Linked DNA regions of Caenorhabditis elegans. The protein of the gene in region 3 purifies or fractionates together with the protein of the main gene of each other region. This does not show direct contact. Each region holds a gene or a part of one and is shown on either strand. Other genes may lie near its edges.

Region 1 (3,643 bases), 2.1 Mb from region 3:
AACAATTTGCGACCGCGACCCACACTCGTTCAAAAATGAGGACGGGCGGCGCGCAGGCCGCACACTTTTTTCTTTTCTTCTCTAAATCTCGCTCTCGTGCACTGCAGAGAATGAGTGTGGAAAAGAGTTTTGTAGAGGTCAGAGGCATAGAGATTACGCATCTTCTATAGAATTCTATTGATGATTGATGGAACCACGTTGGGGAGAAAACGGACAAAGAACATCATTGGTATTTACTGTTTCTATAAGTGATGGAGGTAATGATAAAACACAGCCGCCCGTTGATGGAGTGAGAGCACATTGTCTTCATAGAAATAGAAACCATAACGCACAAAACTGTGACGTTTCGCACACAATCTTACCACGCGGCAGGCACACAAAGAACAATCACAGTAGAATTGACACGAGGAAAAGTAATGGAGGGAGAGAAAACACAAAGAACGACAAAAATATAATTTCGAGTAGTTTCAACTCTGAATGGCATTATTCAAAAAAATATTTAAAAAGGATATAATCATTCAGACGCTTCATTTTTCAGGAATACGCAATAATATTTTCAATCCGTGAAATCATAGGTGTTGAAATGGATAATCGCCGATTTACAAGCACACTGTTTAGCCTCTTCCGCCGATGAACCATGTCCAGCAAACACTAGCGGCCCGGAATCTGGCATATTCTTCTTCCGTAGCTTTTCCTTCTCGGCAGTAGCCTTCATAATTTCTTCAGTCTGGGTGTGTTCTGCTCCCATTTCCAAATCGTCGGGGTCTGGAGAAACTAGACGCCGGAACGAGATTTCCAATAGCACCTGATGTATTCCCATTGTGCTCACTGATAATACGTTGAAATCCATGCTGTAGTCTGAAAATCTTTTCTTGTCCGAGAGTATATCAATCAGTGCGGAATGCTTGTCTTTAATCTTGGATGCTTGATCCTGAATTTCGAGTAAATGTTCAGCTTCTTCCAAATTTTCAATCACATCAACTGAAAGCAGTAAAATTAAATATTAACTACAATTATTTGGAGGCATACCCATATCATATGATTCCAGAGATTCGATACCGTCTTCCAACGCTTTCCACATCAACCATGCTGCAAGATTCTTTGCGTCCTTCTTCTTACTTCTGATTCCTCTGGTTTTTTGATTGCACATCTGAAATTTTTTATTATTTTCGAGTTATTAATTAGCAGTTCTACCGTGCATATAACCAAGAAACGCTCGGTTCTCTCATTCTTGGAATCTTCATAGATTGGGGCTTGCAGCTTGCTTTTTTGAGATTTTTCCTGCAACTTTCCGACCCAATTCTCGGTTGGCGAAATACCAGGTGGAAATTCAGCACTTGTAGGAATCGAATCATCGTTATCGTTATCCTGAACAGCATCTGAAGTTGATCGTTTCAATTCCTCAGCCTTATCCGATATTTGATCACTGAAAACAATTGAAATATAATTCAATTTGATAAACTTGAAAGCATTACATATTCGAAAGAGCTTCTTCTTTGGTTGTTCCAGGAATGAAAAAGATTTCGTGCTTTCCTTTCTCCACAACCTTGCGTAAATATTCAACAGCAGCCTTTTGTCTCGCAGCTTTCTTGCTTGTTGCCTGGCCTTTTACAGTAATTTCATTCAGAATCAACGTCATCTCGAAGCCTTCAGGAAGTTCGACAGTGCCCCAAGTTGGCGTCTTTTGATAGACAGCCTTAGCAGCCTCTTCTAGTACCATGAGGGGAGTTTTCTTCAGAAACATCTCCAAATCTGTTCTGTTTCTTGGCGTTTTGTTATCCTCCGATCGGGAAGGCTTCATAGGAACATCTGATCCACCGAAAACGCTTTCAAACGTTAGTTTGGTTAAATCCATCTATAAATAATATAATTTGAAACAAAAATAATAGCGGATCTCGTTTAAAGAAACGAAAAGAAAAAAACGTTCAATTTTCAAGTTTTGCGGTAATTTCTCATCAAAGGCAACGAGACCGGTGGTACGGTAACACTTGTTTCAACTGTGCGATTTGCTGTGTACTCCTCTCGGATAACGATTGCTTCAATAAAATTTATTTATTTTAATAAAATATATTTTTCAAAGTGATCTTTAAAGTGTTTTCCTTATTTTACAGTTCATTTTTTTAACTTTGAAATTAATTTTTTTATTTTTTTATTTTTGCAGTGAATGTTTTGGTCGCGAGTTCAGTTCGCGGCACGAAGGAGAGAAGACAGTCGACCGCTTTACCGAAGAATCTTCACAAATCGTCGACTTGACATCGCTCATAAGGGTAAGAACATGATTTAGACAACGATTTATTTAATCGAAACATGACGAATATGTTTTCCAAGTTGTAGTACTCAGGCAACTCAAATCTAATATGAAAATATTAAATAGCAATATTTTCGTAGTTGGGTGATATTTCAAGATAAAATCGCAATATTCCGAGACTTATTCGAAATCTTTTTAGATTGAGCAATCTTTTGAGAATATTTCGCAATATTTTGAGGTTGATTCGCAATATTTCTGAATCTGAAAATATTACGAAAAATTCGTAATATTTTGAGATGACATAGCAATCTTTTGAGATTGGTTCGCAATCTTTCTGAAATCTAAAAATATTACAAAAAAATGTGTAATATTCTAAGATTAATTTGCAATCTTTTTGCAGTCCATAAAGATTACGAAACACCATTTCCAAATTTCCATCGGCTTCACATGATCGTGATATATATACAACAATTATGATTACTGTTCCGTTCTAAATTCTCTTTTCTTCCAAATGATAAAAGACTTTTCAAAGTAAAAAACAGCTACATGAAAATCTATATAATGGAGCATCTCACTGTTAACGGATATTTGATTTTTCGTTGCATATTGTAGAAGGAGTTTTTGCAGAGAAAGCCATAGAATTCACAAATCTGTCCACTCATGTAATTTTTTCTAGATAATTGGCCGGTCATATTACAAATTCAGTCAAACAATCACGAAGATTGGTCGAATATATTAAAGTAGACTTACAACTATTCATTCACGCGTGATGCGTTTGAGATTTTCTGATTTCAATTGAAATCATAAAATATTGTCAACAGCAAGCATGTTCCCAGTATACTCATCATTTTAATCAAATTGTTAGTGAAAAAAAATATTGAAAAAATAAAATGTTTTTCTCTCTTTGACAAAAATTCGGAAAAATTGCACATCTAACTTTTTTAAAAGCATAACAAATAAATCGTTTTTCCACATTCGCTTTCAAAGAAAGTTATCCAATTTCGCTCTGACACTTAGAAAATTTGCGAAAAGTCACTGATTTCCCATCAAAGGTAACGAAAAGGACGTGCGCCCATCAACTATTTACTTAAGCAATAACTAAATCTAGATGCGACACGTACAGGATGGCTCAACAGGTAAGATAATGGTTTATAGACTCAACGACAAGCGACGGACAAGTTCAACTCCCCTCAATGGCAACAAAAGTTCTTCGAGTTATCACAAAACAGTTCTAGAATAGTCGATGAATGCATTTTTAATATTTAGAGACAAATTCGCAATATTTTGAGACAAAATCGCAATATTCTGAGACGAAATCTCAATCTTTGCAGATGAAATCTCAATCTTCGGAGACGAGTTCGCAGTCTTTTGAGACAAATTAGTAATATTTTGAGA
Region 2 (7,569 bases), on a different chromosome or scaffold from region 3:
CAGCAGCAGACATCTTATGGGTTCTCAGAAGCAGCGGGCATCTTACGGGATCACTGGTGCAAAGTAGGAGACAATCAGGCTTTTAGAAGCAGTGGACATCCCACAGGTTCCCTAATAGCAGCGGACATCATACGGGCTTAATAGAGCAGCGTTTGCTAAAGCAGCGGACATGCCCCGAGCCCAATAGAGCAGCCGACATCTAATGGTGTTCTAGAAGCAGCGGACATCTCACTGGCGTACAGAAACAGCGCCCATCTTACGGGCCCCCTAATAGCAGCGGACATCCTGTGGGTTCCAAAATATCACTTTATTCTGTTGGACTTGCCATTGGGAAACACAAAAAGGCATTGTGGGTGGGGGTGGGTTGAAAAACAGGACAATCATGAGGTTTTTTTTCAGATACTAAGAGAAAGACAGTTTACAACAAAGTGTACCAATTGAGTGATAAGGTCGTATTTAATTAGAGCAGAGGGGGATAAAGACACAAATGGAAAGTATTTGGAGGATCGAAAAAGCATTGTGTGGCTAGTATGGAAAATGGCTCAAGAAATTTGGAAAAAAATGGAAAAAAAACTTGGTGAAAATTAAACACCTAACATAATTGGAAATATTATAAACCTGGGCTTGAAAGATATTAAAGTATTGATTGATATTGATAATTAGGGGAAGGAAAAACATGAAAATCTCAGGGGGCAGAGGAAACGGGAAAAATGAAAATCGAGATGCATAGATAACAAGTGGCTGTGAAATGGCAGAGAATCCGTAGTTGGAGACTTAGGCAAAATACATGACGTTGTTCGAGTCGGGATGAACCTGGAAAAAGTTGAAATTAGTAGGTTAGGAAAGCGTGGGTATAGGTGTAGGTGTAGGTGTAGGTGTAGGTGTAGGTGTAGGTCTAGGTCTAGGTCTAGGTCTAGATCAAGGTCTAGATCAAGGTTTAGGTCTAGTTCTAGGTTTAGGTCTAGGTCTAGGTCTAGGTCTAGGTTTAGGTCTAGGTCTAGGTCTAGGTCTAGGTCTAGGTCTAGGTCTAGGTCTAGGTCTAGGTCCAGGTCTAGGTCTAGGTCTAGGTCTAGTTCTCGGTATAGGTCTAGGTCTAGGTCTGGGTCTTGGTCTATGCTTCAAGGACTGCGCTTCTAGACTCCTAGGCTCCTATGCCTCAAGCCTCAGCCCAGATCCTGATCTCAGTCTAGATAAATAATCTAGGCCCAGATCCTAGCTCTATGCTTCTGCCTACACTCTATCTCAAAATCCAAACAATGCTCACCTGTACGGCCTTGGCCATGCTTGACAATGTTGTATCCTCCGACGACGTCCCCGAAGGTTGTGATCCTTCCTCTCCGGATCCATGATCCCTATCGACCAAGTGATAACGAGCACGGAACGCCACCAGATGTGCATAGTACGCCGGCGCCGGGATCGACACAGACCTCGTGCATCTTACATAGGTATGACACATTTGGTAGGTCAACTGTTGAAGCTCGTCGGCCGTCAGATCATTGTCATCCCAGAGCACATGGTAGTGAGATGGTCGGGATGTTCCTTGGATACCAGCGTGGGAGCAGAGGAAGAAGTCGAATTCCGTTGGATGCGTGATTCCCACATCTACAGTTGTTCCTGGTGGGATGTTGAATGCTTTTCCTACTTGATCAGCTTTATCCGCGGCGAAGAGCCTTGTGTGATGTCTCTTTTGCACAGCGATAAATGTGATTCCTGGCTGGTATCCACTCTCAAGCATCACACAAGCTTCACGAATTGCGCGGAGCTCATATTGGAGCACATTGAAGAGTTGACCCTCAGACACTCCATCTCTGTAGACCACAATTCGGGCTGGCTTGAACCTCGTGTTACGGTAGAACTGGACAAGCAACTCTCGAACCATATATGTCAGATCCGTAATGATCTCCTGACGGTGCTGCTGGACCCGAACTGTTGCCGCATATCTACTCGGGTGAGCATCCATAGATCCTACCACTGCGGCGATGGATGGCTTACGGGTATCACCGGCTGCTGGATGGGTGATGTCGCAACCCAGGAAGATGACGGGCTCGTTGAAGATCCGTGGACGCACGTTTGGCAGGAGGATGCTGTTGACTCCACCAAGCTTCACATTCATCTTGAGACAGAGGTTGGAGAGTGTCTGCGGGGTGGTTCGGATGGCGTTCTTGGCCTGGACGCACTGGGTGGCGATTCCGAGGACGGTGTCTCCGACGCGTTTCACTTCGGCTGAAAATATAGAGCTTCAGATGGGGTTGAAGAGGTAAGGATATAGATGATCTTGGTCCCAAGATTCAGAGCCCAATGATCTAGGCCATAGATCCTTGGAACCTAGGATTCCAAGAGCCTAGCAGCTTAGGATCCCAGGACTCCATGATCTAAGATCTAGATCCTTGGAACCTAGGAGCGTAAAGCTTACACCAACACCCTAGAACTTTCACCTACAATTAATCAACTTACCATAGATCGGAGTCTTTCCTGGCAGCACCACCACAATCAACTGAATCGCCGAATAGGTCTGCTTCAAGTACTTGAACATCGGCTCCACCTGCTCCACTCCAGAAGCATATTTGCAGAACATAGGGGTACCGATGATTGGCATTCCAGCGTCGGTAGAGATCCTTTGCAATTGAGTCGTGAACATCCTGAGATCATTTTCCTTGACATGAGATTGCTGAGCAAAGCATGCAATCGCCCAGGTACGGACTTCCATTCCAGTGTGGAACTGCTTCCCGCGCATATCCCAGACTCCCTGGTTCGGAAGGGCAGTTGTGGCACGATGACGACCTCCATAGAGAAGCTTCGGAGCCGAGAGCACACGTCCCTTGACTTCAGTCATTGCTGGATTGATAGTGATTCCGAATTCATGAGCAAATGGATCCGCGGAGAGCTCAGCCTTGCTTACTAGCTTACAAATCTCACGCTCACGCTCTGGAGCGGAACGAGCCGTGGCCTTGATCATGGTGGACGTCTGCACATCGGTGAGCTTCTTCAGACAACGCTGTCCTGGAACAATATCGCAGACCTCTGGTGGCAGGTACGTATGCTTCTGCTCCTGACCGACTTGGAGGCATGGAAGGTGGGGGTACTTCAGCTGGATACGGTACTTGTCAAAGAAGTACTTGGCTACAGTACACTCAATAGTTTGGCCAGTCTCCAGTTGCAATGGGAAGGTCTGGGTCTGGGCCGGGCGGCGTGTGACGTTGCAAACTCTGTACTTCCGGCGCACGGCTCCACAATGGGTGATCTCAATCTTGAGTCCACGGATCTCTTTGGTGAATTTGACGCGTTGAGCATCGGAGAGGGCCCGACGCTCGGCGAGAGCTTGGACTGGGAGCTCGAGCACCTCGGCGACGAATTCGATGACTGGCATCGCGCGGTAAAAGGCCGTGGCGGAGACGTCAATGTTGAGCATCATCTTCCATTGGGATGGTCGGACGGATTGATGGAATCCAAACCATACTTCGCGGCCTCCACCGAGTTTGCTCTCCTGGTGCATTTGCATGCCGGGCTTCATGACGCCTAAAAGATATAGTTGGAGTATTGAAGTTTGTCTGGGAGCGTAGGAGCCTAGAGCCTAGATCCTAGAGCCTAGATCCCAGAGCCTAGATCCTAGATTCTAGATTCTGGATCCTAGATCCTAGATCCTACACCCTAGATCCTAGATCCCAGATCCTAGACCCTAGACCCTAGATCCTAGATCCTAGATCCTAGATCCTAGATCCTAGATCCTAGACCCTAGATCGTAGATCCTATACTCTAGATCCTAAATCCTAGGTCCTAGATCCTTAACCAAGCAACTTGAGATCTTACCTGGAGGTGTGAAAAACGACCTTCCAACCGGGGTGTACTTCAAACTTGGCAAGTGGCGAAGAATCACATCGATCGACTGAACGGCTTCATGTGGAACCTGCCGCACTCTACCTTCCATGGCATCGTCCAGAGCTGACAGACAGACCTGACCGATCCACTTCATCGTCACTGAGAACTTCCGTTCCACTGCTGAATCTCCAGGCAGCGTCACCTCAAAGTTCATGGGCTCCGTGCCAATTGGTAGGGGCTCCCGCGTGTACATGTTACGCTTTCCATCGTAGACTGGTCGAATATTGGTGAAATATTTTGAGAAGGAGGAGATCAGGCAGCCGATTACCTCGCTGAAAATGATTAAAATTTCAGAGCTGAAGTTTTGAAGGGAACCCCGAATCAATAGAAAAAGTACTTACCGATTAACCCGTCTTGGGCACTTGTCCGGAAAGACGTCAATTTGATAATGTTGGACTGAACCTCCGGGGATCCGTACTGCAAAATGATTGGCTCGCAGGAGGATGGATCGGCCCTCGACTCCATGGTTCGGACGGACTGGGCACTGGAATTGGACGCCTGCGTCGGGTTTTGTGCTGAAAATTGGAAAATTAGAGATTCAGGAATCTTACAGGAAGACTAAATAAAAATCAGGCCTGGAGCTAAAGTTTCTGGGCTTGCCTAGGCTAAGTCTAAATTGAAAGCTTCAACAGACGCTGAAGGTCGGAATTTGATTTAGGCTCAAGAGTTGGCTTTGGTTTAGTCGGGTGGTATTTACCTTAGGCTTAAATTTGATGGCGTAGGTTTAGGCTTAGGCTTAGGTGTGAGTTTAGGCTTAGGTCTAGGCTTAAGCTTAAGCTTGGACTGAAATTTCCGGACATTCTCTAAAAATTTTAATAGAATTATAGCTAAAGCCCAAAATTCTAAAAACTTGAAGCTCAGCCAATGTGAGCTCACATTCTAAATTTAAAGTCCAAGTCTGAAGTAACTTCAGTTTTTTTTGTAAGTGTCAGATTTTTCACTAGATTCAAGTTATTAGAGGCTCTGGTTTAAGTTTCCCAGTTCTGGGCTCCAAATATAGTTTTTGGGCCCAAAATCCAGCTCTAACAAGCCCAGAAGCTTAGACTTCCTGCTCCACATCGAGCCAAACTCAGATTTAAGTCAAAACTTTTGCACAAAATTCAAAACCTTACCCAATTGCTCCGTGAGCCGAGCCGCCCAACTGTGAAGAGCTCGACGTTTCTGCGCCACCATCTGGCATGAAAGACGACGATGTCAGCGAATCGCCGGGCATTTCTGAAAACATTTTATTTGATAATGAGAAGCTGCACGAAAAAGAACAAAACGGAGCAGCACACCCAGACACAGAAAAAATGTGAACTTTAAGCATGAAACCCCATAATTTTTGGTTTAAAGTGCAGACATACTTAAGTGGGAAAAATCAAAAATCTCTCTGAAATCATAGAGGTTATTACATAGTTGGCAACTTGAGAAAAATCGATAAAATGCCAAAAAATTTTCGATTTTATTTAGTAAATTTGTTCAGAGTATTTTAAAATTGAAAGTTCGCTGTGGAAAATATAGAAAATTTTGGCAAAATTAAAGGAAAATTTGCTGAGAACTTCAAAAATCTAAAAAACCACACTAACTTTACTATACCAATTGGTAAATCCAAAATTTACCTAGATTCCTCAAAAAACCTAAGATCTATATAGAATTTAAACTGAATTTTTCGAATTTCTAGTTAAAATCTCAAAAAAACTAGTTTAGACCTCCAAAATCGGCTTCAAAAGTCATTGCGAAAGCGGGTGTTCCCTCGGGGGAAGGAATGCCGTCAACGGGCTAGCTGGCGCACTTTCGGTGCACTGGCGTGTTTTTCGATGCACCCCAAAACTCAATTAGAAAAGGGTTGGGGAGCGTGGGGAATTTGAATTGTATAGGGGATAAAATTTCGATTTTCATATGGAAATTTGGGTTGAAAATCTTATTTTCTAAATGTTAAACTTAATAAATTAGAGAAAACTTTAAGCTTTTTAAAGTTTTAATGAGAAAAATCAAAATTAAAAATGAAAACTATTTTTAAAACTGAGAAAATGAAAAGAGAAACCCCCTAATCGCAAGAAAAACGATTGACCAACACAGCTGGCCTCTCAAAAATGCGCGCGCGCGGGTAATCTCGGACCACTAACCGAAAATCGATAATTTTCCAAGTCTAGGACCATTGTGTACAGGCAGAGGGAACATAGACGCAGAGAAACAGGGAAATTGACAGGTGGGAAGACGGTCCGTTGGGAGTGTTAGATGACGGGACGCGATAAGGAGACGCAGACACAGTTTTGGGGGCAGACTGTTCGGGTAGGGGGAGGAGGAGGAGGAACGTGGGAAAATTGGCAGCGAGCCAAGGTTAGTTTGAGCCGTCATAACTCTGCGGTAAGTTGAGATATTAAAAAGTTGTCAACTAAGAAAATATAGAGAAAGTTGTGTAAATCATTTTGCCTGTTATTAATTTTTTGTTATATATTCGAGGCCGAACAAGGAGGCGAAGACGAGTAGTTTATTATTACATAACTAAGGAATAAATAGAAAGTTAGTATACATAGATAATGAGTTCACGTTACACGATCTTCATATCCACGTTAAGGGTTAGGTACACGTAGATACCCAACATCTCCCCTCTTCAATGACAAACGAGAGCTTTGGTGAGGAGCCATCCACGAATGTCTTCTGAGGTTCTCACGGACCACCCTCCAGTGTGACCGTCGATATTGCCAATCCTTTGCACACGGTACTTCGGTGTTCACATCCTCCAATTGCGGGTTCCAAGTTAGCCACACTTCCCGTACCAATCGAAATATTTTTGATGTCTATCCACCCTTCACCAACAGACTAAAAAAACGTTGCTGCCTGAATATTAGACCCAACCTTGAATCATCCACACTGATTCCGCCTGTTCCACCATCAACCTGTTGTATCCCAGTTCCTGGTTGTGGATCATGTTATGACCAATAACAATTTGTGCAATCGTCCAATGACTGAGCATTTGAAACGCATAGGTGGCCTTCACTCGCATCTTCAAAAGAGTTGAGCAATGATTCCTTCTTCTTTTCGACTTCAAACCAGAAGCCGCTCCTGTCCACCTTGACTGCAACTGCAGAGAGCACGGCAGGTGCCTCTTCCCAAAGCTGACCTGATCCACCTCAGAGGTCTTTTCTTCCCAGTAGACATGTGTAGATCAAAACAATACCTCAGAGGTCTTTTCTTCTAAGTAGACATGTGCATGAAGTCAGTGGTGCAGTGAGCCCGAAAGATCCTGATCGCCAATGTTATATATTCGAGGCCGAACAAGGAGGCGAAGACGAGTAGTTTATTATTACATAACTAAGGAATAAATAGAAAGTTAGTATACATAGATAATGAGTTCACGTTACACGATCTTCATATCCACGTTAAGGGTAAGGTACACGTAGATACCCAACATTTTTTATTAGCTTTGATGCTTTTGGAGATATTTAAGTTTTAAAATTGATAAAAATCAGGTAACCTGTCCCTACTTAGAGCTATCATAACTATGCTCAAAGTTGAGCTACAAAAAATTTGTAAATTAACAACTTATAGAACAATTTGCGTAGATTATTTTGTTAATTGACAATCTTTTGCTAACTTTTGTAGATTTACAGATATTCAGATTTTAAAATATACCACCTTCGTTGAGCCGGTAACTAGCAAAATATAGAAAAATTTAGGAACATTTTTAGTACCAAAAAAACATTTTAT
Region 3 (4,895 bases):
CATATAATTGCTTTCGTTTTGATGATCCAACTTTAGCAGCAATTCCAGGTGCATACTCATCCGGCTCCTCATCAATATGTTCTAATAATTTGGCAATCGACTCTCTTCCTTTTGGAAGTAAATTATCATCGAGTTCTCCTTCTAAATGTAATTGTCGACATGCTTCAAGTGCAACTGCCATCTGTGCAGTCTTCTTATTTGGCATTGGATTTTTGAGCACAATTGCATGTTTGATCGGTGAGTTAATTGGAAGAAGAAGCTCTGCACAGTATTTGGTCACTCCATTCTCTTCAATTGGAATGATTTGATTGTGTGGAACAAGACGAGTGAAGATATCGGAAGGAAGCTTCGAACAATATCTGGAAGATTACCAATTGTTTGTATTTAGCTGTTGGATTAAACTTCTAAAGTGAAATTATTAATATACCTATTAATTAATGCGATAGCAGTTGACATTTTCAATGTTGCACCAGTTTTTTCAACAACATATGGTTCCATTTGAGAATCAACATCAAATTCTTCAAATCTATCCGAATCATCTTCAATAGGATTGTTGACTGTACGATGGCGGCTAAGAAGAATCTTAATATCATTTTTTAAACAATTGAACTGAAGATTCCAATATTACTTTTTCTATTTGCTGGAAATCTTTCAAATCACTATCACACGCCGCAGTATCTTTCTCCTCAACAGTGATAACATATCTTGATCCAGCTCGCCGAGCTCTTCCCTTTGACTGAACGTATGATCTCATGTCAAGTGGTCGATCAAATTTAATCACAAGATTACATTGTTTAACATCTACACCTTCTTCAAGCACTGATGTAGCGATAAGACAATTGATTTCATTTCGATGGAAACGGCGAAGAACCTAAAAATTATATTTAGACAATGATAATTTAAACATAAATTTACTTCAGTTTGTCGTTTATGTAATCCTTGACTATCCGAACTCGCCAAATTTCGTCCGCTGGCTCCAACGACGTAATCCGGGTTCACAAACTTGAACTTAGGCTCCCATGATTTAATATGACGCATCATAAGCTGAAAATTTACAATATATTACCGTAACATTCATATAAACCTACAAGTAACGAATATGCAATGTACCGTTGATCGACAAAAATAATGGCTGATAAATGTTCTGCTTTTTCTAACTTCATTCGTTCTTTTTGAAATTCGGGGTTGAAAGTTTCTAGGATTTCGAAAAGACGTATGACACGTTGAGGAACATATGGACGGAGAGCTTCAATACTTTTGATTTTCTTCATCTAAATTGGAAAAAATTGGTGTAATTAATAGTTGATTGCTTACACTGGAAGTTGGAAAATGCTAACTTGGAGTTCAATATAGAATAGTAATTTTAGATTAAAAGTGTTATTGAGGATCATTCCAAAAATTCAGCTGCGTCCGAGCAGTTTCACCCCTTTTGAAAAAACTTTCAACTTAAAAAAAGTGTTTCCAAATATTCGTAAATTGTTTTTAAAAAACATATAGCATTCAAGCTTCAGCCCATAATTCTCAAAAAGCCATGAATTGAGCTACAATCTTACAATTTGAAATCTTGCTCAAGATTTGTAGCTCTCTTGGTGAGTAGGGAGTTACGAACTTTTTCGAATGATAACACTTTTTTGTCGAAAAATTGCTATACCATAACGATACTTCGAGGTACCATTTTCCAACGTCTCTTGTTAGGTACGCACCTCCGGTTCCAACAATCTTTTAATCGTAATCATAGATGTTTTTGCCATATTCAAAAACCGCAACGTCTTATCCGGTAGCACTTGAGATTTTATAATTTTTCCCAACTCTTTCTCCCAAACTTGAGCCGTTCGCCATGCCGCCCAAGGTCCCAGTTGACGAAAAACAGCTCGCGTCGTCTTGAGAGAATCTTTAATCGGTCTACGAGGATCCAAATCTAGATCTGGATGAAATTCTGTTGTGGTGTTCACAAAGGCTACAGTTTCATCAAATATTTCTATAACTGTGTCGAAATTCGGAATACCCAGGCACCCAATTTCAAAGTCTTTGCAGATGATCACAACTTCATAGGGTTTCGCACCGTATTTCGAGAGCTAAATTAGTTTTATTGGAAACAAGTCTTTGTTTGTCTTTTTTAAATCATACCGAGACTAAATCACTAGCTGTCTCTATAACACTGTCCATCGCAGATTCCAACTTTTTTAACTGTTCCATTAGTTTTTCCGGCGCAACTTTCGCTTTGATAAGACTGGCTGTGAGTCCTAATACACGTGGGACGGGTTTGTCTGAAAAAATATTTCCGTATTTTGAAGCGAATTCGAAGTTTCACCATTAATTCCTCAATACTTACCCTTTTTCAATAACTTATAATCGACCATGATGCTTCTGTATGGATGTTGAGAACCGAGAGCATGATGACATTCGTCAAAGATCAGAACACACATGTCTTCAATTTTCAAGTACGCATGTCGAATCAAATCAAGAAGGCATTGAGCTGTGATCACAACAACCTGAAATATATATGCTCGATAGTTCAGCTTCGTATTCTCACTCACATGGTGCCTCTTCATGAACTGATCACATTGTTCTTTGCTGTCCCATAAACCACTACTTGTCTGTCCGTGGACCTGACCAACTTTGAAACTTGTGTGAACTTCGATGTGGATAGCTTGTTGTTCAACGAGGTTTACTGGAAAAAATGATGTTTTAGAATAAATCTTGTTTTTTTTTGTCAATTATTCACTTTACTGGCCAGCTGGCTTATTTTTAATAGACGAAATTACCTTTCTCTACAACAAAAAACGCTCGTTTTCCACCCTGATCCAATGGTGCAAACAATTGAACTCCATATTCTTTCAGCAGTAGAACTGCAATGAAAGTTTTTCCTGAACCAGTGCCTAGTTGGACGATTGTGTTCTTTTTTGTCGCTTTATCCAAAAGTTCCACCTGAAAATCGATTATTTTTAATTTATTTTGCTACTTAAAAATTACCTGGTAGTCCCTGGGGTTAAAACATTGTAAATCAGCTCTTACCCTGACCATTATTGGTCTGAAAACAGGGAAAATTGATAATGTTCAAAAATTACAATAAAAAATAATTGCCGCTGACTGCCCCGTAGTATGCGCTCTACTGAACCAATGTCTATGTCTCTTTCATGGGAACATTCAAAAGACGGAGGAAAAGTGGAATCGACAGAAATTTGAAAGAAAATACTCTGAAAAATCGTGTGAAAAAAAAGAAACAAACATTTTTTCGTATAATTTTTAAAGGAACATTTATTCGCGGTTTTTGTGGAAATGTAGTTTCCGAGACCCCAACCTTCGTTTTAAGCATGATCCTTTAATATATACAGTTTCTCACACATTTGTCATCGTTCTCTTCTCGTATCCTTGCTGAAATTATTTTAACCATTTCGAAAATGTCCATTTTTGACAGAATGACTACTTCGAAAGAGGCTGCGATGAAGTACAGGTATGGAATTTTTGAAAATGAGTTCCGTAAAGACAGTTTTCAGACAATTTTGCGTCTCAAAGAAAAAAGAAGTCTGGGATGCTCTGATATATCACGCAAAATACGCAAAAAATATTGAAAAAGTTTATGATATGACGACAGTTCTGCAACGAGTACAGCAAGAATGCCTGATGGTGAGTTTTAAAATTTTTAAATCCAATCAAGAACAAATTAGCCTTATTCTCAATTAAATGCTCTGAAAAATCTTCTCCTTATGGAAAACGGTCAGAAAATAGAGGTGTAACAAGCTAATGGAAAATAATTTCAGTTTGCATTGGAAAAAGGCGTTGGTCAACCGGATATTCGCGATGCTGCAGAGCTCATCTTCCCACTGGCCATGCAGAAAGTTGTTATCAAAGTTCTCAGACCTTATTTTATGTCGCACTTCACTAATTACAGACGTATTTTTTTTTCATTCAGCCCCAGTTTCCAATAACATTTTTCAGTTGCCATGTACCTTCCTCATCGAAAAATCGATCATGGAATCGATTTAAACCAAGAGCTGTGGACACCAGAAAAAAAAGAAATATGCGGGCAATATGTTCAAGATTTTAATCCTTTTGTCAATGAATTGTGGGTAAAGCCTGACTTCCTAAATTATATATAACATTTTCAGAAAAACTGGAATTCTCAATGCAAATCGTCACATGAACGCAGCACTTTCAGTGTATATTCGCGAGCTTGCTGCAACATTGGTGATGCACGAGAAAGCGGCTTTTGACAATGAGCTGAGATGTTCAATGTTTCAAGAAATTATGGAGAGTCTGAGGATTTGGTCAGATCAAGTAACAATGCAAGACGCATTCCATTTAATTAGTGACACTATTTACAAAGATGTCTTCCAAATGCTTTCCAAAAACGTGAGTTTTTAAAAAAATTTGGAACCTAAAAAATATTTTTTGTAGGCATATGAAATGATCGCCGTAGATTTTCCAGTAAAATTTCGCAGTCTCATCACAATGAAATATTGCCTTTTGAGAACTAATAATCATGGGAGAGTCGATTTCACAAATTACTTGATAGATCAAGTTAACACAAAACTTCTTGTTGCATGTAAGTTGGTGAGGGGAATTATTTAAAACTTAAATATTTAAAATTTCAGCGGTTGATACAAAAGACATTTTGAAAGCTTATGCGGCGTGCGTAGAATCTCTTCGTGAAATGGACAATAGTTGCGTGGTTATGCATAAAGTTTGTGGAGTTATCAGAGAATATTTGAAGTAAGCTATTTCCTGATTGTTTAATTATATTTAATTTTTTTTTCAGAAGGCGACCTGACACTGTACAACAAATTATCAGTTACATTACTTCTAATAAGAAAAATGAACTGGAAAAAGATATGGTAAGCGTGTACTAAAAAAACGTTTTCTAACACTTTTCAAGAGCTTACAGTCTAAAACTG
Region 4 (7,824 bases), on a different chromosome or scaffold from region 3:
CATTCGGCACGACGTTGTTGGCAATCGCGTCCCTAATTGTCTCTCCACTGAGAAGTAAAAGTCGAGCGAGGCGTTGTCGTGCAAGAACCGTTCCAACTGATGTAACATAGATCATATCAGACTTCCGAGTTCCAGTGATTTCGCGAGGAATTATTTCTTTGACACCAGACCAATCCTGAAAGTTTTTCACTAGAAACGAAAAGTATTTTCGAACCACTTACCTTCAAAGATTGCAATATTCTACTCCTACTGATCGGATAATCATCGTTGTAGTTTCTCGAAGAGAACAATGACTCGTTAACTAGTATTGGATCCTTGCTTTCTGTAATCTGATCCACCGCATCCTCATCGTCCAAATGAAGCGCATCAAACCGTCCAGACACAGCGATGGAATGAAATGTACGATATGCAATCTGGAATATGTTTTTTGTTGATAGATCTGGAATATTAAAGATCGAGCTTACAAGATGTAAAGGCATCCATTGTGCACTTTTAGTAAGTATTGGCTCAACAATATCTTTTTCGTAGAAAACTCGAAGACTTATGCTTTCAGCTGATGCGAAAGATTGACTGAAATATTGAAAAATTTTTCCAACACTAGATTTTTAAATTTACCTTGCCAAATATCTGAGAAATTCGAGCATCATTGTTCCCATATCGAAATTTCTCAATATCGGAGCTTCATCTGCATCTTCTTTCTTCGAAATCCATTGCTGAAACATTGTTGTTGGCATCAGAAGACTTTTTTCATAATCAATAGTGGGATTTCCCAGGAGATCTCCGAGCCCTAGACGAATCAAAAGTCTTCCCAGCTGCCAAATCGACAAAACACTTGATGGGAGCACATTTTCTCGTTCAAGCCAAACTTTCAGGATGAACAACATTTTTATAATCTGATCTCCATAAAAATATACGTATCGTCTCAGGAAAAGCGCATCTTTGTGAGATTCAATCAAATCTTTCAATTTGAGAAACTTGTCAAACTGCCTTTCAATGGAGTTTTCGATCTCCTCTTCTAAACGAGCAGCAATTGGATATTTGCCTCGTAAAACTGCGTCATTTTTATCGAGCATCTGCAACAAAAAATTAATATATTTATTTCATAATTTTAACTTACTAATTGTCGCCTCAAATCACACAATGCATCCCAAGCAACCCAGGGAAGACTCTGTCCAATGCATCTTCCAGCCTTATTTATCTTTGGCTGCACATATGCCACGAAATACCATTGCCGAATCTTTTCATGCATTGCCTTCGTACATTTCAACCGAGTGTTCTTTCCATCATTCTCAATGTTGATTTCTTCTCCACCAAACTCTTCAAAGAATTTTGCACGAAATACAGCATACAATTTTTCATAACGAAGCTCAACGACCTTATCAGTGTGATAAAATGAATAGTCGTCTCTCTCCATTCCAGCTAATCTCTTGATACTTGCAGCATGTCCAGACACAACTGAAGCTTCGTCTTCAATTCCATATTCATCCAAAAGTTGTTGCATTCGATCAACGTATTCATCGCGAAGAGTCAATGTTTGTACAAGTTTTATTTCATTTCCGAAGAAAACATCAACGTCTTCTGGACAAATCAGTTTATCATATTCTCTTTCGAATACACTCCCGCGTGTTTCAAATTCTTCCAAAACTTCTTCAACTTTTCGAGCTTTTCGGTGCAATTGTCCATTTAATCGGGTACTGTAGTACATCGGTTTTCCACCTGACATCATATAATCAGGTGTCATTTCGCATTGCTCGAAACTTGACAATGGTTCCGCGGGAACTCCACTTTTCGGAAAATCTACAGCTACTGCACATTTGAGCGCGATGGCGTGACAATTTTCGCTGAAAAATAAGATATTGGCTTAACATGGATAATTTCAAGGAACATACTGGAAAAGTCCGTGAAGATCAGCATAAGCCAAATGAGCGTGACTCATTCTTCCAATTGAATCCTGTTGAAGGTATCGAAGGAAGAATTCAACCATATCATCTGTAGTAGGTTCTTTGTCTTCTTCTGCAGCTGAACTACTCGGAAAAACCATTGCTTCTTCATTATAATCGAGTAGCATTTCTTGATCCCATATTATAGAATACTCATCTCCATCCAAATCTGAACCTGCCATTTCATCGGGATGTGGTCGTGGGCCATGTTGTGGAAATACTACAACATCGACTAAATGAGCTAATGCTGGTTGCCAAACTGCGTCGAAAACTCGAACATCTCCAGGAACGTGACACGGATTTTTGGTAATCAAAACTTTGCCTGTTTTCAATATTGGACGGTTACTGGTTTGTCGGATACTTGGTGAATACTGGATGAAAACCTGTCCGTACTGTAAAAGTCCAGTCTCATCGACAACACCGTACATTGATCTTCCCAAACTTGGAGGCAAGAAAATTTTAGCTTTAGAAATGTGATGGATGATGTTGTAGCGATAAATAGAGAATAGCATATCTCGTATCAATGGATCTACACTCAATTCGAACCCGGCTCGTTTGCTTGCTGCGTTCCAGTCGATTGCCAAGTTTGTGCGATTGACTAGCTCTTCTGCTGCTTGATTTTCATTTATGAGCATATCTAAAATTAGGAGATTATGATTTGTAACCATACAGTAACTACATACTACTCAGAGAACATAGTTCTCTTTCCAAGTAATAATGAACACGATTTGTGATCCTTCTGTGAGAGCTTGCAGATTGTTTTTCCGACACTTGATCCAGGATTGTAATGAATGGACGGTTGAGACAAACTGGAGATGGCATAGCGTATTTTACTACTTCGAGGTATTCATCTTGCAGCTCTCCACCACCTTCACCAAACTTTTGCTGACTTTTTCTGAAAATTGATCATATAATTTGTTTGATAGATCATCACTACCTGAAGATAACTTTAGGCATATTTATAATATCATCGATTGTTGGATCAATAACTAGAATTCCTTTGAAACCTTTAAATCGCACTTGGAAACAAGCTGGTACTTCCTTCAATTGGAGAATCTTAGATATATGTGTTGCCAGTTTGATAGAAATTCGACCACAACCATCAGAAAAACAATATTTGTTCTCTACACCACCTTCAATGTCAGGTTCAACGATCCAGTGATGTCGTTCAAGACGTACCTGAATATTTTCGACTATATGAATATTTTTAACACTAGAATATACCGTTGGTTGTGCTTGTGTAAAGCATTGTCCCATTCGACTCATCATCTTTGGAACACTAATCGCATCTCGGAAATCTCCCATCCATACTCTAATATCTTCTACAGTTCCTGTGACTTCACCAGTTAATGCATTGACTCGAGGAGCGTATAAATAACATCCTTGATCACGCATTTGAGAATTACTCCATCCTAGAAAACTGTAGACACGATCAGCAACTTGAATTCCATTTTTGAGAGTCAAATAAATTCCTTCGGTGACAATATTCGACATGTCTGGAAACTTAGATAATATATTTAAAAATATTTAAAGAATTTCTTACGATCTATATTATTGATGGAAAAGTCGCGAATAGCGAGCCGGCCCAGATTGTCATCTCGGAACACACAACGAAGAGCATAATCAGGTCCAAATCTTCTAACAACTCGATTTACCATCATTACTTCTGGAGCCATTAGCAGTATTCGAGATGGTGTTACAATAACTTTAGCCACTGAAACACAATTCTTCGGCAATGGCTTTGCAAGGCCTACATCTTGAAGGCTTTCTCCTTTCAGAAGTCTTTCGTATTGAATCTTTCTTGATTGATACATTGTTGTGAACGCGGTAACTACATCGATTTGACGACGTTCATCAAATGCATTCAAAAGTTGTTCGAGAGTCTCTTCTGTGGCTTGAGAGCATTCTTTCATTCCCCTACGAACTAATTTCAGAAAGAGCGGCTCGTGTACTAATTCCATTGGCTTTTTCGTGTCATCAACATCATCGTCATCATCTTCATCATTGTCATTGTCTGAACTTGGAATATTTTCATCAGTTGCGTCGAAAAGTTGGTCCGTAAATACACTTCCGCGTGTGATTAGAGCCTGGAGAGCATAATTCGCTCGGAAAGATCCCAGAGAATGGAAAGCCGGGGATGGTGCAAGTTTTCGGCGAATTGAAAAAATGGAGCCGAACATCACTTTTGCTTTGCTTCGAGCAGAAAGTCTAGTAACAATATCCATCAATTGTGTAGACGATACCGAATCGTTATCATCATCTTTTCTCATTGTCAACCGGATCCAGGAGCTTTGCGAGAAAGCTTCAGAAGTACAACCGACACCTCGGCCCTCAGCATCGCCAGGCCAACTCAATACTCTTGTCTGAAAATTTACAAGTTTTTAAAAGTTATTTGCATACCATATCACCCATTCTGTGCACGTTTCCATATTGAGAACCTTCGACTTTGATGGGTGAAAAATCGTATTTTTCGGAATTCCTTCCCAGAGATGCGGTGGATTTTTCATTTGTATATAAATACTGTTCGTAGTTTCATGAGACATGTCGACAACAATTCGAACAAACAAATTATAATATAGATTAAGACGAAATCCGGCATGATCCAAACCATCATCAGCGAATTCGGCTAATCGAACTCCGAAATATACCACTGCCAGTCTTTTGTCATGCTCAAATCTCGCATACGAGAGGTATTTATTGCTTCCTGCCACTTTGAATGAACTGTTTTCACGGGATGCATCTGCATTATGGTGTGACTGAAGCTTTCTTAAAAACAAAAATCTGATTAGAAATTCTGTAGAATATGTGCAACTTACACACTACAAACTGTGTTTTCTTGACTGATGAAATCTCCTCTAACAAGGAAAAGTCCTGAATTAGGGCAGTTTCCAATCGCAATCGCAGAAATATTTATATCCATGTGTTGGGGTCTAAATTATAACTTGAGTATATAAAAAGCGGATGAGTATTCTATTACGTTATTTTTGTGAAAAGCGTATGCATTTTCGGGACTTCCAAAAATACTTGATCATGGAGCATTCCAGTTATTCTAGATGTGAAACTTGATGCGAACTCGGAGAACAATTCATTTTCATCTTCTACTTCACCGTTTGGCGTCAAAACTAAATGAGCATCGATGACGTATGATTTATCTTCGTACGCAGCTCGTGGCACCATCCCCACCTTGATCCAGTTTACCTCGTCAACTTTAGACTGAAATTAAATTGTTTCAAATACGGCCAATTAAAAAATCGCTTACCAATTTCAAGTGTGTTTTCAAAACATCTTTTATATTTTCCATGTGTGCTCGGCAATATCCAAAGCAATCATTATTCATGCTGCCAATGAGCTTAGCATCGAAATTCAGCTCAATCGCCTGTTTTTTACTAAACTGTCTCGTCTTCGCAACTGTTTCCGATTCTTCTGCAGCGGCCCATAACATCCGCACGAGTTTTTCTTGTTCTTCGATATTTACACCACCTCTGTGCTTCGTTTTCTCATAAAGAATGTGAGTTGATGGGAGAGAGTGCCGTTTTAGAACAGAACAGTCGACTGGTTTTGAAGTAGAAGGCCTTTGTGACTGTAGCAGGTAATCACGAAGATATCCACGATTCACTGGATACGAAAAATTGTTTAAATGATTTCCTGGAAAAGCCGACGATGAAGAGTGAACAGGCTGTTCTTGTACGTCAACTTCCGATTTAGATTTTGAATTTCGATCCATCCGAAACGTTGTCAATAGCATCTTGTTTGAATGCCCAATTGTTAAGGTGTTCACTGGAGTGCATTCTGTTTTTCGATTTGGTAAAGTTCCAGACGAAAAATTCGATCTACCACGTGGAAATGTTGATTGACTCTGAGGAACTCCTCTGGAAAAAAACATTGTTTCATTTGACTACCGTTTGCTCACCGAATTTCAATTACCTTGGATGCTTCGGCCTAACAGAAGTTGTAGCATCATCGCTAGAGTCATCATTATCAAACGGGAGCATTTTGTGAAAGACTTTTTGAAAATGGCATTTATTTTACGAAAAAAATGAGAAACAATTTTATTCAAAAATTTGATGATGTATGTTCGCTCCATTGACAATTAGCAACGAGACTCCGCAGTTACGGCTAAAATTTAAATTTGATCAAGCATTAAATCCTTTTTATTTTGTTTTTAAGCGCCTAGGCGCGCCTTTATGTTATTTAGTTAAAGTAGCTGTAACTACTCCGTGTAAGCTGTAAAATTATAATCTAAAAATAAGACTATAATCTCAACACTTTTTCACAACAGTTCCATTGCAATTAACGTCATTATTGAATTTCTATTTTACAATTCTTGTTGCTTAACTTAAGTTCTCTACTTACTAAACAAATATACGAAGCCTTTACAGCATGAGCGCGATCTCGCCTGATACAAAAAGTTTTGCGATTCCGACATTGGCTGATGAAGGTTCCTCAAGCAAGCCAGCATCATCTTTGTGAGTTTAATAAATAACATTTCTTTTTCAAACTACAATTTTTCAGAGATTTGCCGAAACACGAGTCTATTCGTTTCAAGCCGATTAAAACACTTGCAAGTAGAATTGATGGATCGGAGTATTATGACGAGGCGAGCATGGAGAAAGTGATGTCAGTTTGAGACCAGCATATATATTAATATGTTATATTTTTAGGGAAATGCTTGAAATCGGCAGAACCGATGAAGCTGTAGCTTACGCGGATACATTATACTCTAATATAATTGATGATGAACAGCAAGATATTGTCACCATCGCTGAATACGTAAAAATTCTCGTCGTTCTCCGTCAATGGCGGCGTATTAGCCATATTATTGCTCGTGGGAACTATCATCAGATTCACATTGTTTTTGCTTATTATGCCGCTACCGCACTTTTCCAACGGAAATTATACGAAGATGTAGCTGAATTATCGGTCGGTCATCTTCTTCCAAGTAATGGCCAAATTGGACCTCTTCCTGTTCGAACACTTTCACAAGTGACGGGGAGATATGTCGAGGAAGAAAGAATGAAGTACTCATTTGCAAATATGGCCGAATTGGATAATAGCTCTAAAAAGCTCAGAATGGTTCCAGCTCTTATGATAACCATAGCAGAAAGTTTTTTGAAATTGATGAATCGTGATGCTGCAATGATTTGTATTAATTACGCGCTGAGTCTTGTAAGTCATCTTTTATACATGATTTGACCGTGTTTTATTATTTCAGGATAATACAACTCTCCATGTCGAACGATTAATGGCAAAATACAATCTGGTTGAGCCTGCGATGTGGGAGAAGTACAGAAAAGTCAGAAATGAACAGCTGAAGTTACACGAAGGAAATCATGATCCACGAATTCTTATGGAACGTGCTCAACGTGCCTACGAGATGGGTCGATTTCGAGAAACAAAAAAAATCACTGACGAGCTATTTGATCTATTTGGACCACATCCTGAGTGCATTATTCTTCGTATTCACTGCCTAACAATGTTAAAGGATTCTCGATCTCTGCTTGAATTAGGTCATCAACTAGTTAGTGATGATCCTCATATTCCACTTCCATGGTATTGTGTTGCTATGTATTATTATAGTATTGGAGCAAACTCAAGAGCTCGAAATTTCATCAGTATGTTTCCCATTTCATTGAGGTTTAAATAGAGCTTCTTTAGGTAAATGCACGATGATGGATTCGACGTTTGCTGAAGGATGGGTGGCTTTTGGTCATATTCTTCACTATGAAGTTGAACACGAACAGTCCATGAGTTGCTATTACAGAGCGTCGAAACTTGTGGATAAAAGTTCTGAACCGTTCTTGTACACTTCTCTTCAGTACAGTACGCATAGTCAGAAGCTGAGCAAGAAGTTCATGGGAGAAGCAGTTGCTCGGGCACCGAATGA

What was found.
Region 1: the proteins of dcr-1 (region 3) and rde-4 purify together in Caenorhabditis elegans (affinity purification with mass spectrometry; 4 studies listed by BioGRID, with this or other methods). This does not show direct contact.
Region 2: the proteins of dcr-1 (region 3) and alg-2 purify together in Caenorhabditis elegans (affinity purification with western blotting; 3 studies listed by BioGRID, with this or other methods). This does not show direct contact.
Region 4: the proteins of dcr-1 (region 3) and rrf-3 purify together in Caenorhabditis elegans (affinity purification with mass spectrometry; 3 studies listed by BioGRID). This does not show direct contact.

The regions. Positions count from the first base shown.
Region 1 is NC_003281.10:10,216,790-10,220,432, forward strand, and holds rde-4 (DRBM domain-containing protein), read right to left. Parts: upstream 1,858-3,643; 5' UTR 1,856-1,857; coding exon 1,476-1,855; intron 1,427-1,475; coding exon 1,195-1,426; intron 1,151-1,194; coding exon 1,030-1,150; intron 982-1,029; coding exon 557-981; 3' UTR 513-556; downstream 1-512. Other genes in the region: cox-14 (Cytochrome c oxidase assembly factor 3), read left to right, coding at 2,165-2,267.
Region 2 is NC_003280.10:871,682-879,250, reverse strand, and holds the start of alg-2 (Protein argonaute-1), read right to left. Parts: upstream 6,040-7,569; coding exon 5,985-6,039; intron 5,600-5,984; exon of another isoform or gene 5,471-5,599; intron 5,092-5,470; coding exon 4,989-5,091; intron 4,392-4,988; coding exon 4,218-4,391; intron 4,149-4,217; coding exon 3,808-4,148; intron 3,765-3,807; exon of another isoform or gene 3,564-3,764; intron 3,517-3,563; coding exon 2,455-3,516; intron 2,224-2,454; coding exon 1,265-2,223; intron 814-1,264; coding exon 775-813; 3' UTR 1-774.
Region 3 is NC_003281.10:8,077,251-8,082,145, forward strand, and holds the start of dcr-1 (Death-promoting deoxyribonuclease), read right to left. Parts: upstream 3,032-4,895; 5' UTR 3,025-3,031; coding exon 2,974-3,024; intron 2,929-2,973; coding exon 2,766-2,928; intron 2,672-2,765; coding exon 2,538-2,671; intron 2,493-2,537; coding exon 2,333-2,492; intron 2,268-2,332; coding exon 2,128-2,267; intron 2,076-2,127; coding exon 1,704-2,075; intron 1,272-1,703; coding exon 1,089-1,271; intron 1,045-1,088; coding exon 916-1,044; intron 872-915; coding exon 629-871; intron 583-628; coding exon 428-582; intron 360-427; coding exon 1-359. Other genes in the region: apc-2 (Anaphase-promoting complex subunit 2), read left to right, coding at 3,402-3,454, 3,498-3,627, 3,762-3,894, 3,940-4,066, 4,110-4,353, 4,399-4,546, 4,596-4,713, 4,760-4,835 and 1 more. UniProt on the Caenorhabditis elegans protein: Component of the ERI/DICER complex which is involved in processing amplified double-stranded RNA (dsRNA) intermediates during small-RNA-mediated gene-silencing or RNA interference (RNAi). Involved in cleaving dsRNA in the RNAi pathway.
Region 4 is NC_003280.10:8,160,666-8,168,489, reverse strand, and holds the start of rrf-3 (RNA-directed RNA polymerase), read right to left. Parts: upstream 6,026-7,824; 5' UTR 5,933-6,025; coding exon 5,865-5,932; intron 5,810-5,864; coding exon 5,200-5,809; intron 5,154-5,199; coding exon 4,918-5,153; intron 4,871-4,917; coding exon 4,757-4,870; intron 4,707-4,756; coding exon 4,349-4,706; intron 4,304-4,348; coding exon 3,484-4,303; intron 3,437-3,483; coding exon 3,165-3,436; intron 3,120-3,164; coding exon 2,878-3,119; intron 2,836-2,877; coding exon 2,624-2,835; intron 2,578-2,623; coding exon 1,890-2,577; intron 1,842-1,889; coding exon 1,118-1,841; intron 1,074-1,117; coding exon 616-1,073; intron 571-615; coding exon 465-570; intron 414-464; coding exon 222-413; intron 176-221; coding exon 1-175. Other genes in the region: emb-27 (Cell division cycle protein 16 homolog), read left to right, coding at 6,321-6,406, 6,453-6,557, 6,602-7,106, 7,153-7,552, 7,596-7,824.